Rattus norvegicus: one gene and its partners. The protein of the gene in region 3 interacts with the protein of the main gene of each other region in a biochemical or structural test. Links are inferred from orthologs where the notes say so. Each region holds a gene or a part of one and is shown on either strand. Other genes may lie near its edges.

Region 1 (3,748 bases), on a different chromosome or scaffold from region 3:
AAAGAACCAGAGGACAGTTGCTATGATGACACGAGTTCTCGTAGATTACTCTGTCTCACTTATACCAAGGACGAACTATCAGAACCGAAGGTGGGCTCTGGATTTCCCTGATACCAGATAGCATTAGAAATAGAAATTTCGCCAAGATATGTTCAAAGGGTGCGTTGGTTCAGATTTTCAACAGTCTTTAAAACTAGAATGCAAAAACTTAGACCTCACAATAATCAAAAGAGTTTATTAAATAACATACGGCAAGATTATAAAAGACATTTCCAGAATGTTCACATAGGTTTCCAAAGCTATGTTTTCTATAAACATTTATACAGGCCCAAACATGAAACTGTTGGGAAGGTTTCTTTACTCCATGAGTTGGCAGAACCTATTTTTCCCCCTCTCTGCATGGACCACTCCAAACAGAAATGTCAGTGCCCAAGAAAGAAGTCGCCTTAGCCTTATGAAGAATCAGGGGTCTGTGTCACTCTAAGGGTCGTGAGGGTACCTATCATGAGCAAGCCATCTGGAAGGCTGAAGTGGAGTGTGTGAGAGGAGTGCAGTTCAGAAGTCTCTCTCACGGCAGTACAAAGACTACCATCAGAGCATTTTGCATTGAAATCAGTGTGACAAGCCAGTGACCCTTGCTCCTTTACCAAGAGTCAACAACCCTCGTGGAGATACTCCCCAGCAGTGATGCCCATGATTCCACCTTGTGACAGTTTTACAAGATGACCCTGTGGGCTGGTGTTCCGTTTTAGATCACCAGGTTTCCGCGATCTCTGCGAGAACCTGAAGCAACTCAGCAAATGTCGGACGGCCTTTAGGGCTCTGGAGAACAGAGAGAGAGAGAAAGAGAGAGAGAGACGATCAGCTCGGCCTGCTTCTCACTCAGACACCAGCTGTGGAACTTGCAGAGATCCTCAACCCATCCCGGTTCTGCACAAACTGAAGAGCACCAGGCTCTGGCTGACACACAGTGGCACGGTGTCCATGTGAGGAAGCATGGTTGAGCATGGACGAGTATAGCGCAACGGCACGGATAAAACAGCCAGAGTTGTAAACGTAACTTACCAGTGGCTATGTAAATAAATGTAAAAGGAATACATATTTCAACTTGGCTCTCCAATTACACTAGCCACTCCTCAAATCCTCTGTAGCCAGAGGTGCCTAGTGCATGGACAGAGAACGTGTAGAATCTGTGTAGAATGTATGCAGACTACAGAAATTTCTTCTGGAAAATGACAGGGATTTGAAGTGTGAGGTCCCCAATTCCATATCAGTACTGGTTTACCATACTGGTCCCCTCTAGCAGGAAGGGCTTCACATAAAAAGCAAAAGGCACATCTCCATGTCTCCTCCAGGGATCCTGTAGATCCTGGAGCACAGTCAACCGTACCTTTGACCTCGGAAGCAGAGATCAGAGCACTTTCCCCTGTTTTACTTTGCAATGTGCTTTGGCTCTGTCTGCCTGGGGAAGACATGACCCTGTTGTCATCTCTGGAACCTGCAGGAGTTAGAGCTACCCACTGCGATGGGATGAAAGGGGTGGGGGTGGGGGGAAGCAGGTGGCAGACACTGTGAGAGGATCCTGATCCTTGATGAGGATCCAGGAATAAATCATGGACCTTTCTGGAAGGGTCCAGCTCAACAGGCAGAATCTGCCATGTTTATCAACAATCTTTTTTAAAAATAGTAAATTCACATTATTCCAATTATCTCACAATCAAAAACAGGCAGTCTAAGGAAGCCATTCAAACAAATATTTACCTAGCCCCAAATTATACCCATCAGCGAACTTCTATACAGTTAGATTGGCCATCCTTGGGCCTCAGGACTTCACTTAGGCTATTAGACTTCCACGATTAATTACATTTTATTCACTTACCCTCTGCAATGAAATCGAGATCGCTATGGGCAGAGTTGAAACTAGTAGCTTGTATCTCAATGTGCATGCGTGCTCTGTTTGCCTGCAGTTTGAGACGGTTCCTTCTGTGATCTTCCTGTTTACCCTTCTTCCTCTCAGCTCACAAATAATACACAAGATGGCCATGTTCTGTGCACACGTGCACGCTTACTAATGATCCTTGACTTAGGACACAGTCATCTCCCAATAAACCCATTCTAAGCTTAAAACATCATAAGCTAAAGGTGCATTTGTGCAAGTACTCTACCAGAAAGCACAGCTTAGTGACATCCACAGCAATCATTTATCCAATCTTGTGAGCTGTGGCTGCCTGAAAGATGGGCTCCTTCCCAGCATCTCAGTAGAGGCTCCTACTTCATATCAACATTAGATGCTTGAAACATGGCATTGTAAAGTTGGAAAAATTCTAAGTCAAAACCATGGAAGCCACCATCTGCGTGGCCTAAGCCATTTACATTGTGATGGGAACTAATATAGTGTGTGGCTACTAGCGACTTACTGGACAATTCTTTGGACTTTCAAGATTCCTTGTAGAACAGCTAACCATGACTATTTCCCTATTGATCTATTCCCATTGATCTTCCCAGATGCAATGCCTCTCTGAAATATGAACAGTCCCACCACTCTTGAAATACTGGTTTTCCCAGTGTTTGTGGATTGGGAATCAAATGATGCATGTGAGTTTGTTTGTGTTTCAGGCCATAGGAGACCCCACCACTACCACCACCAAGCTGTGATTTTTCTGGGGTAAGCCTGCTAACTACAGAGCAGAGGTCTCAAAAACCACAGACTGATAAGAGCGGAATGGCTGTTGAATGGATGCCCAGAAAAGAAGGGGTGGGAGGTGGGGTGGGGAAGAGACAGAAACCTACCCCTCTGGCTTCATTTTTCATCTTGGCATTTCAACAAAAAGAGCAACTCCTAAGTGATGGTTTCCCAAGTGCTAGCTCCCAGCACAGCCTGCCTTCAGTTTCTATTCTGGTTTAATCTCTCTATCAGGAGTCTTAACCGGGGTGAGAGGAAACCCTTGAGTGTGGAGGTGAACAGAAGTAAAGTGCAATGAATAAAATGGCATCCTCCTTATTCTGTGGGGAAGGTCAACAAACCAGATTCTGTTCCCAGTTCCACCACCCAGTTCTTCAAGACAATAGATCATCTAATCAAGAGTCTTTAGAAACATCCAGTTTCTCTAAGAACCAATCCCAGACAGACAAGGCTTGGGAACGAGCTCCCAGATGAAAGTCCTTTGTGAGAAACAAAACAGACTTGAGACTGGGGTGGGGGTGCCATAAGAGAAGTGGTGGGCTGACTCTCAGGGTCATGATCAGAAAGCAGGCAGCAGGTACAGAGTCGGTAATAAGGGACACCTACCTCATGCCAGCAACTGTACATAACTCCGTATATGGACATGGGGGCCAGGTGAGGACGATAGAGCCGGAAACCTTTAGAAATGGCTTCCACCACTTGCAAATTGGACTTATTCTCAAAGGGCATTTTTCCTTCTGTAAAAACTTCCCACATTAAAACTCCTGCAAATAAAACATGTTAAAACAAGAGTCACTTGGAACCAAAACAACGGTTTCATTCAAGCTGCAAGATGTTAATCTCTTCCAGCCCCGGAAGCCAAGGGGCAAGGATCTCAAGAAGGCAAGGTGCAAATCCCAAAGGCCTTGAAAGTATAAAGTGAAAGGTGTGCGCTATTTTTTCTAATCCAGATGTTAAGCTCAAATTGTCAAGTTGGAAAGCAGATGAGCTTCTGCATAGCTAAACAAGGGAGTTTATTAAAAACACTGGAAACTCAGTGGTAACCCAGACCCTTTCCTCCAAGAC
Region 2 (3,726 bases), about 23 Mb from region 3:
GAGTCTGTGGAAGTCAGGACAACTCTGAGGTGTTCCTTCTCTTATCCAACCCCGGGATTGAGGATCAAACAAGACCCTCAAGCTGGCAAAGCTGTGCTTTTGCCTACTGAGCCACTCTGCGGGATCTCAGAGCACTCAGATGGCAGAAGCAAGAATTCTCCTGAGTTCAAAGCCAGCCTAGTTTATATGGTTGCAGACCAGCTAGGGCTGCAGAGTGAAACCCTGTTTCAAAACAAAAGAATGGAGTTCCCTATGTGCACCCCAGGGATTCCAAAGCAAATAAACAAAGAATACCAAAATTATACAATAGTCAGTTCTCAGGTCACACTGTCTAGTTCAAATTCTGGTTTATATGCTAAATGTTACAGGTTACTGGATTTCTAGTTCTTCTCCCCACCTCCAAATGAAAATGTTTTAATAAATGGAGATTGCAGAATTTCACTCATTGGATTGTTTTACTGATGGTGAATTATATAAGGCACATTTAGCAAAGCATGTAGCATACAATAGTCAGTCAATAAGTGTAAACTATTAAAATTATATATGTCTCTCTAAAACTCAAGTAATTCCTGTGTGGCTTCAAAAGAAAAACAGTTTAATGGATGGCAGAACAGCGATTAAGTGACCATCATAAAGACAGCAAGTGAATTGAGTGTCCTACAGAGAAAATGGGGAACACGACAGAACAAATTGCCACAAAGCCAATGAACTTTCCACACCTAACCCACAAACTGGCAATCTTCTCCTCTCCTAGGCCAAACACCTATTTTGAAAAGGTGGAGCTACCGAGATATAAAACCACAAGCCTGCCTGATGCTAGTCCCACATTTTCAAACAAGGAGAAAACTGAGGACCGAGTCCCTCACCCCCAGCTATTGGGAATAAAACCTAGCCTCCCCAAATGTCAGGCAAATAAACTACCACTCAACTATATCCCTAGTCACACCCCCTAACATAACTTTTTATTTTGAGGCAGAATCTTGCTAAGTTTCCCAGATGACCTGGAACTTGTAAAATCTTGCCTCAGCCTCCTAGGTGCTGGGATTAAAAGCATGAATTATGAAACTTGGCTGAGAATTGAATTTCAACAATAACATTTCATCTTACTACTGCCCTTAACACAAAACAACAGATTATTTTACAGATAGCACAAAAATAGAATTTACTATGTTTAGGGCAATTGTGTTGTATCTGATTTTATATTATTAAACCAACAGACACAAAAAGACTAAGAAGACTTCAGTACTCAAATTTTCCCCTTACTTGTGTGCCAACACCAAGAACTGTTTATCCCACCTCTACCTCCTCATTTGTGGCCAAAGGGAGTAAGTCTAAATTAGGATGATCCTAAAAGGAGGTCTACTAAACGGCTAACCAGGGAGTCTCCATTCATGAGATTAGCTCAGCTCTAGGAGGAACAAGCTTGCACTTCAAACATCCAGAAAGCAAGAAGCTTGGTGCCAACACACAGAGACAACAGTAATCTCAGAATCACTGTGCATCTCACAAACTTCAAGGACGAAGTGCATGAATTTCCTTAACATTGCCAAGACAACTGCAATAATACAGCTGAGACAATTACAACTCAATGGTCCTCGATGAGGAAAACACAGCGGGATAATTATTCTTGGTGTATCTGCCAGCTAGGTCTGCTCTCATATCCTGGAAGATTTTGACCACAGCACCAACTTAGCAAGAAAAGACCCAGAAGTACGTTGACTGACACTGTTTAAGCCCAGGAAGAATGAAATTCCATTCACTTCCAAGGTTGTTCTCCCTGGCCTATGCTTGGTTTATTTCCTAAAGGAAAAAAAAAACCTTCCTCCACTAATCACTTTGAAACTAGAAACTCTACGTGCAGCGGGCAGTCTTTTGGACACTTAAAACCTCTTGGACACAATTTGCCAGCTAGGCTTCAATTACGCTGGGCTGGTCACAGAAAGCTTTTTTTCTATTACCAAGTCACTTAGTTCACCACCTTCCACAAGGGAAGAGCACGGTAAAAAGATTTTGGAAAAATGCCCAAGAAAGGAAAAAGCTGACCGGCTTCCTGAGGGTGTCTCCATCCCTCCCAGCCAGCCAAGTACGTGGTGACTTCCTACCGAAGGCCACCAGGGGAGTATGGCCAAACCCAGCTCTAACACTGCAGGAAACGTTTCAAGCCTAAAAGCCACTTGTAGGATTAGCAGATCCATTCTGGGCATCTCTGCCAAATGATGTCCCCGCAACATCCCCATTAACTCTTTGTCCCCAAGTTGCCTGGCCCTGCCCTGCCCTGCCCTTGGGCCTGACCCTGGCGCCCAGCCCCACCCCGGGGCCGCAGCAGTTCCCCTTCCCCGGCTCCCAAGGCACACCCAGAGGCCTCGGTGAGCAGCTCCTCCTCCCCCACAATCCCGCTCATCGGTGGGAACCAGCTTGGTCAGAAGGCAGCTCCCCCGCCAGGTTCACTCCAGCCCTCTCTGCCCACGTCCCTCCTGCAGCCGACCAGGGTTCTAGGGCCTTCACCCCCGCCCGGGCCTCCCGCCCGTCTGTCCCTCACCCGGCGGAGGCTGAGCGGGCGACGGAGGCACTGGAGGGCGCGGGCCGCTGCTGTTGATGATGTAGTGGGAGACGCGCGAGTTTTCGGAGACGCTGAGCACATAGTCCCCGGGGCTGGTGCTCGAGTCCCGCACCAGGAAAACCCCGTGCCGCTGGCCCTGCAATAGCGCCACCGCCTCCTGCCGGCTCAAGCGGCCCCAGTACCAGCTACTCCGCTCCTCCGAGTCGAAGTTGCCTGCCATGGCCGCCTCCGCGCCTTCACGCTGGGCCGCCGCCGGCACGCGCGCCCCTCCAGCCCTGGCGCCCGCCGCCCAGCGGACCGGCTCCGGTGTAAGCCTCCCAGCAGCGCCCGAAATGGCGGCGGCAGCCGCGGGCCTTCCCCACCGGAAATGACGCGCTCTCTACCCGAGGGAGGCTGCCGGGAAGGGGACCGCCGCCCGCCATTGGGAGAAGGGAAACGGAGTCCTTGGGGCCCGCAGTGCGCATGCGTCCTCATGGGCGTCGCCGCCCGGTCCAGAACCCCAACGGCGGAGGATGGGGAGGCGGAGTCTAGGTTTAAGGGGCGGAGCCTCAATCTTCAGACTGACTGGTGTTTGACTAACTGGTGTTTGACAGATTGGTAGAGGCGGTCTTTCTCCCAGGACCTACAGGTAGCAGCTCCAGTAAAAGGACTGGAGTAAAAAAGATGATGTGGTCCCAGGATGCCCTCAAAGCTCCCTAACAAGCTGGTCTTTCCCGGTGTTTCCTTCGGTTTCCCCGGAGGTCAGTCGAAGTTCTTGCTATCTAGGAGTAGCCATAGATAACACATTTGCCTTGCAGGTGCAGTACTGACCTAGACTGAGCCTTAAGTCACCGAATTCACAGACCAGTGGGAGGGATCAGGAAACCATTAATGTCTGCTGTGATGGGAAACAGAGACACAAGGAAATCAACTAAGTAATCCTAGAGGAATCCAAGGGCCGGGTAAAGTGACTATGACAGTAATCCCAACCCTTAGGAAACTGAGACAGGAGGATCACTGTGTTTCAGGCCCTATATTATAAAACGAAAGCAAATAAGAACAAGGAGTCCACAGATGAGATGGTGTAGGTTGAATGGTTCGGTGTTGAATGGCAAGTGGGGAAGGGTACTTAAGGCAAAGAAAACAAAATGTCCAGCCAGGCAAAGCAATGGAGTTCTCTCTATGGG
Region 3 (3,648 bases):
GTTGGGACTCTTGACTAGCACATTCCGGGCAGCCAGGTCCCTGTGTACAAGCCGCACGTCCTCCAGGTAGCTCATCCCCTGGACAGAGGGCACCAGTGTGGATCGTGAGTCTAAATCTCACCTTAGGGACACTCCCACCTCATCCTGGCCCCAAATGAAGGCAGGGACTTGCACCCAAAGGATCTCCAGAGCCAGCAACCCCTAAAGCACATACCTTGGCAATCTGAACACACCAGTTGAGCAGGTCCTGGGAGCCTAGGCGACCTCGGTGTTCTCGGACATGGTCCAGAAGGCAGCCGTAGGGCATAAGCTGTGTCACCAGCTGTACTGTGGATGTCAGGCAGATGCCCAGGAGGCGGGACACATACGGAGAACCCACACCAGCCATCACATACGCTTCCTGCAGACGAGGGTACAAAGGGATACAGGAAGCCACCTACTTCCATCCACTCTCCTCTCCCAGAGACCCTCACCCATCCCTCACTGGCTACAACCAGAGCCTCCAGACTAGGAAGGTTAAGAGTCAAGGTTTAGGGGCTTCTATCTCAAACCCTGATGAGGAGAAAGCAGCCCAGATCTGCACCTGGGAGCTCCTCACATTCCCAAGGGGGAGCATGAAGGGGAGGGGCTTCTCACATTCCCAAAGGAGACAGTGAAGGAGGGGAAGGTCCTCACATTCCCAAGGGGGAGTGTGAAGGGGGATCACATTTCCAAGGGGGAGCCTGAAGGGGGTCTTCTCACATTCCCAAGGGAGGCCGGTGAAGGGCTGGGGTCCTCACAATCCCAAGGGAGAGGGTGAAAGGGAGGCTCCTCACATTCCCTAGAGAGGAGGGGCTTACATCTAGAATTTCTTTGTTGGCTTTAGGAGATGTGTTTTCTCTCAACACCTTGATAGCCACGGGGATTTTCACATTCTCCCCATCTGGGATCCAGATGCCCTGAGCAAAAAGAAAAGGACTTGAATCAGGCTCCCCAACAAGCCATTGAAGAGTAGCCTCCAGCTTGGCTCACTCCTGTCTCTTGACCCTGCCCCTCCCTTAGATCCACCCATGCCAGAACCTGGTCCCTCCTGACCTTGTAGACAGTGCCAAAAGCTCCTGATCCAAGCACCTTCACCTTCCTTAGCTCCGTCTCTTTTAGGATCCGCATCTGAGCCTGGTTGGGCATTGCTCCGCTGGGCGTCAGCGGCTCCACTAACTGAACAGAGAGGGTAGTAGGTAGGGTGAGTGCTGAGTATAAGCTGTAAGTCCGAGGGGGGCACTAGGAGGCCCTCACCATGCCTCACCTCAGTTTCCTGCAGCAGCCTACGCATCGTATACTTCCGGATCTTCTGTCTCCTTCGTTTGATTAGGATTCCAACGACCACCACTAAGATCAGGAACAGCAGGACGCCCACTACAGTTGCAATGATGAATGTCACCGGGCTGGAAACAGAGCCAGAGTCAGAGATTAGGGGCTAGTCTGAGGAGGAAGCTTGGAGAGACCCCCATGAAGGGACAGGAGTGTTCCTGGGCTCCAAAACTTCATGGGAGAAAAATGCATCAAAGGCCTTGTTAGTCTGCACTGTGCAGCCCACCCCCAGGGGCTTCTGCCACACAGGAAATAGGGTCTAGTAATATGTACCCCAAGACTCTCAGGTACTAGTCAAAGCATTCTTCAAGGAGCCTTGCAGTCGCAGGTTCCCATTACCAGGACCTTTATTTCTCCATGATATAATTGTCTATGATTCAGCTCATCTTGGGGCACACAGGGTCCCTGGATTCTCATGAGACCATTATTGGTTGGTATACTTAGTTTTGAGGCTACCTCACGAATAGCCCAGGCTGGCTTTGTATTCACAATCCATGTGCCTCAGTCTCCCAAGTGCTGGGGTTACAGGTGTCTGCCACATGTCCGGGCAGAACTCATTCTTGTCATCCTTGCTCCCTGAAACCCCATCTTGCTCTGCATGAGGCCTGTCGTTAGAGCCAGCATCTAATGTTTGCCTCACAGGCGAACAGCATACCCTAGACTGCTTTTCTCCCTTCTACCACTCTCCTCTGACAAACCAGAGTCCCATGGCCCAGGGGTCAAGAACTCTACCCTACCCTCCAGATCTGTGTATCTCACAACTTCAGTTTACACCCCTCTGCACTGGTGTGGCTCATAGCACACACCAGAGAGTTCTTAGCCACCCTCGATTTACATGACTCTCCACCTGAGGGCACAAAAAGCACAATACTCCATCCTGGAAGCTTCTAGCTGCCCAGCTAGAATACTCTCAGGCTCTGCACGCTGTCACTGCATCCCTAGGGAACTACATTTCCCAGCATCCCTTACCCCACAGCATCCTGAGCAGGACTATCCACTTGTTGAAACAAAAGTTAATAGAGAAAGAACGGGACTAAGGAGAGAGGCACATGCAGCATGCTGGTTAATCTCTCTTCATTACTGACCACCGAGGCCAATGAAGGAGTCGGGGGTGCGGGGGTACCTCTGGGGGCCCACCTGGCTCTCTGCTCTGCTGGGCAGCCTCGTTCATCCAGATCCACACAGCTGCAGAAGAGAGAGAGAGTGCCATCATCAAACCTGGGGACAGGCTCCGGGGGTGGGCGTGGCAGGATTACTCCATGTGACAAACAGAAACAGGGCTCCAGGTCACCAATTTGTTCTGTACCAGCCCACAAGAAGATTCCCTCTCCAGTCTGGGAGCCCACCTCCCCTGCATTGCTATAACTTCCTGTGCTGAGAGCAGGAAGCACTATTAGGGCGGGAAGGTCAGCTAGCCCCTCCACAAAAGAGGCCTAGGGTATATGGTACATGGAAGGAGAGTTTGAGGAGATCTATTAAACACACCGGGGCAGGGCTACAAGGAAAGGGTCTACAAGGTCCTGGCATCCATCTCCACCCACCAAGCAGTAAAATATCAACAGTTCTGCCTCAACAGTCGGTACTACCATGCCAACACCAGGTCACAAGAAGGCATGCACACAGACGCCCCTTTGTGTGTAGAGCTGAACAGCAATGGGCTGGTTTAAAAAAAAAAAAAATCAGGCCTTACTAGAAGAGGAGGAGCCTAGTCTTACTGCAACTTGATATGCCATCTGAGAGGAAATGGAGGAGGAATGGATTGGGGGTTGGAGGGGCTGAGGGGAGGGGAGGAGGGAAAGCGGTGGTCAGGATGAAATAAATAGGCAAGTGAGAGTGACATCCCTCAAACAGGGCCCGTCCTGAGCGACATGCTCTGAACTGAGACGTTTGTAGAGGGGTAGATGGAGATGCCCTTGTAGGAGAGGATGCGGAGCCAAGTTTCACCCCCCTGAAAGAGCAGCGAGTGATCTTAACCACCTCTCCAGACCCAAATGTGTTATTTTTGTAATTAGAAAAGAGATATAAGGGCTGGAGAGATGGCTCAGTGGTTAAGAGCACTGACTGCTCTTCCAGAGGTCCTGAGTTCAATTCCCAGCAACCACATGGTGGCTCACAACCATCTGTAAAGAGATCCGATGCCCTCTTCTGGTATGTCTAAAGAGAGGTGTAGTGTACTTATATATAATAAATGAATAAAAAAAAGAGAGAGAGATAAAAATTACACCTCAGTATAAGTTAAACCAGCCTCATATTATCGCACCCTTCTCGTAATACGCTCTAAAGAGGCTCCTGTCATGA

What was found.
Region 1: the proteins of Erbb2 (region 3) and Txk form a complex in vitro, tested with the Homo sapiens proteins (2 studies listed by BioGRID and IntAct, with this or other methods). The link is inferred for Rattus norvegicus from reciprocal best matches to the Homo sapiens genes ERBB2 and TXK.
Region 2: the proteins of Erbb2 (region 3) and Crk form a complex in vitro, tested with the Homo sapiens proteins (2 studies listed by BioGRID and IntAct, with this or other methods). The link is inferred for Rattus norvegicus from reciprocal best matches to the Homo sapiens genes ERBB2 and CRK.

The regions. Positions count from the first base shown.
Region 1 is NC_086032.1:35,869,924-35,873,671, reverse strand, and holds the end of Txk (tyrosine-protein kinase TXK), read right to left. Parts: intron 3,448-3,748; coding exon 3,290-3,447; intron 823-3,289; coding exon 754-822; 3' UTR 220-753; downstream 1-219. UniProt on the Homo sapiens protein: Non-receptor tyrosine kinase that plays a redundant role with ITK in regulation of the adaptive immune response. Regulates the development, function and differentiation of conventional T-cells and nonconventional NKT-cells.
Region 2 is NC_086028.1:61,028,010-61,031,735, reverse strand, and holds the start of Crk (adapter molecule crk), read right to left. Parts: upstream 2,820-3,726; 5' UTR 2,781-2,819; coding exon 2,540-2,780; intron 1-2,539. UniProt on the Homo sapiens protein: Involved in cell branching and adhesion mediated by BCAR1-CRK-RAPGEF1 signaling and activation of RAP1.
Region 3 is NC_086028.1:83,924,533-83,928,180, reverse strand, and holds part of Erbb2 (receptor tyrosine-protein kinase erbB-2 precursor), read right to left. Parts: intron 2,536-3,648; coding exon 2,488-2,535; intron 1,425-2,487; coding exon 1,286-1,424; intron 1,198-1,285; coding exon 1,075-1,197; intron 939-1,074; coding exon 840-938; intron 401-839; coding exon 215-400; intron 79-214; coding exon 1-78. UniProt on the Homo sapiens protein: Protein tyrosine kinase that is part of several cell surface receptor complexes, but that apparently needs a coreceptor for ligand binding. Essential component of a neuregulin-receptor complex, although neuregulins do not interact with it alone.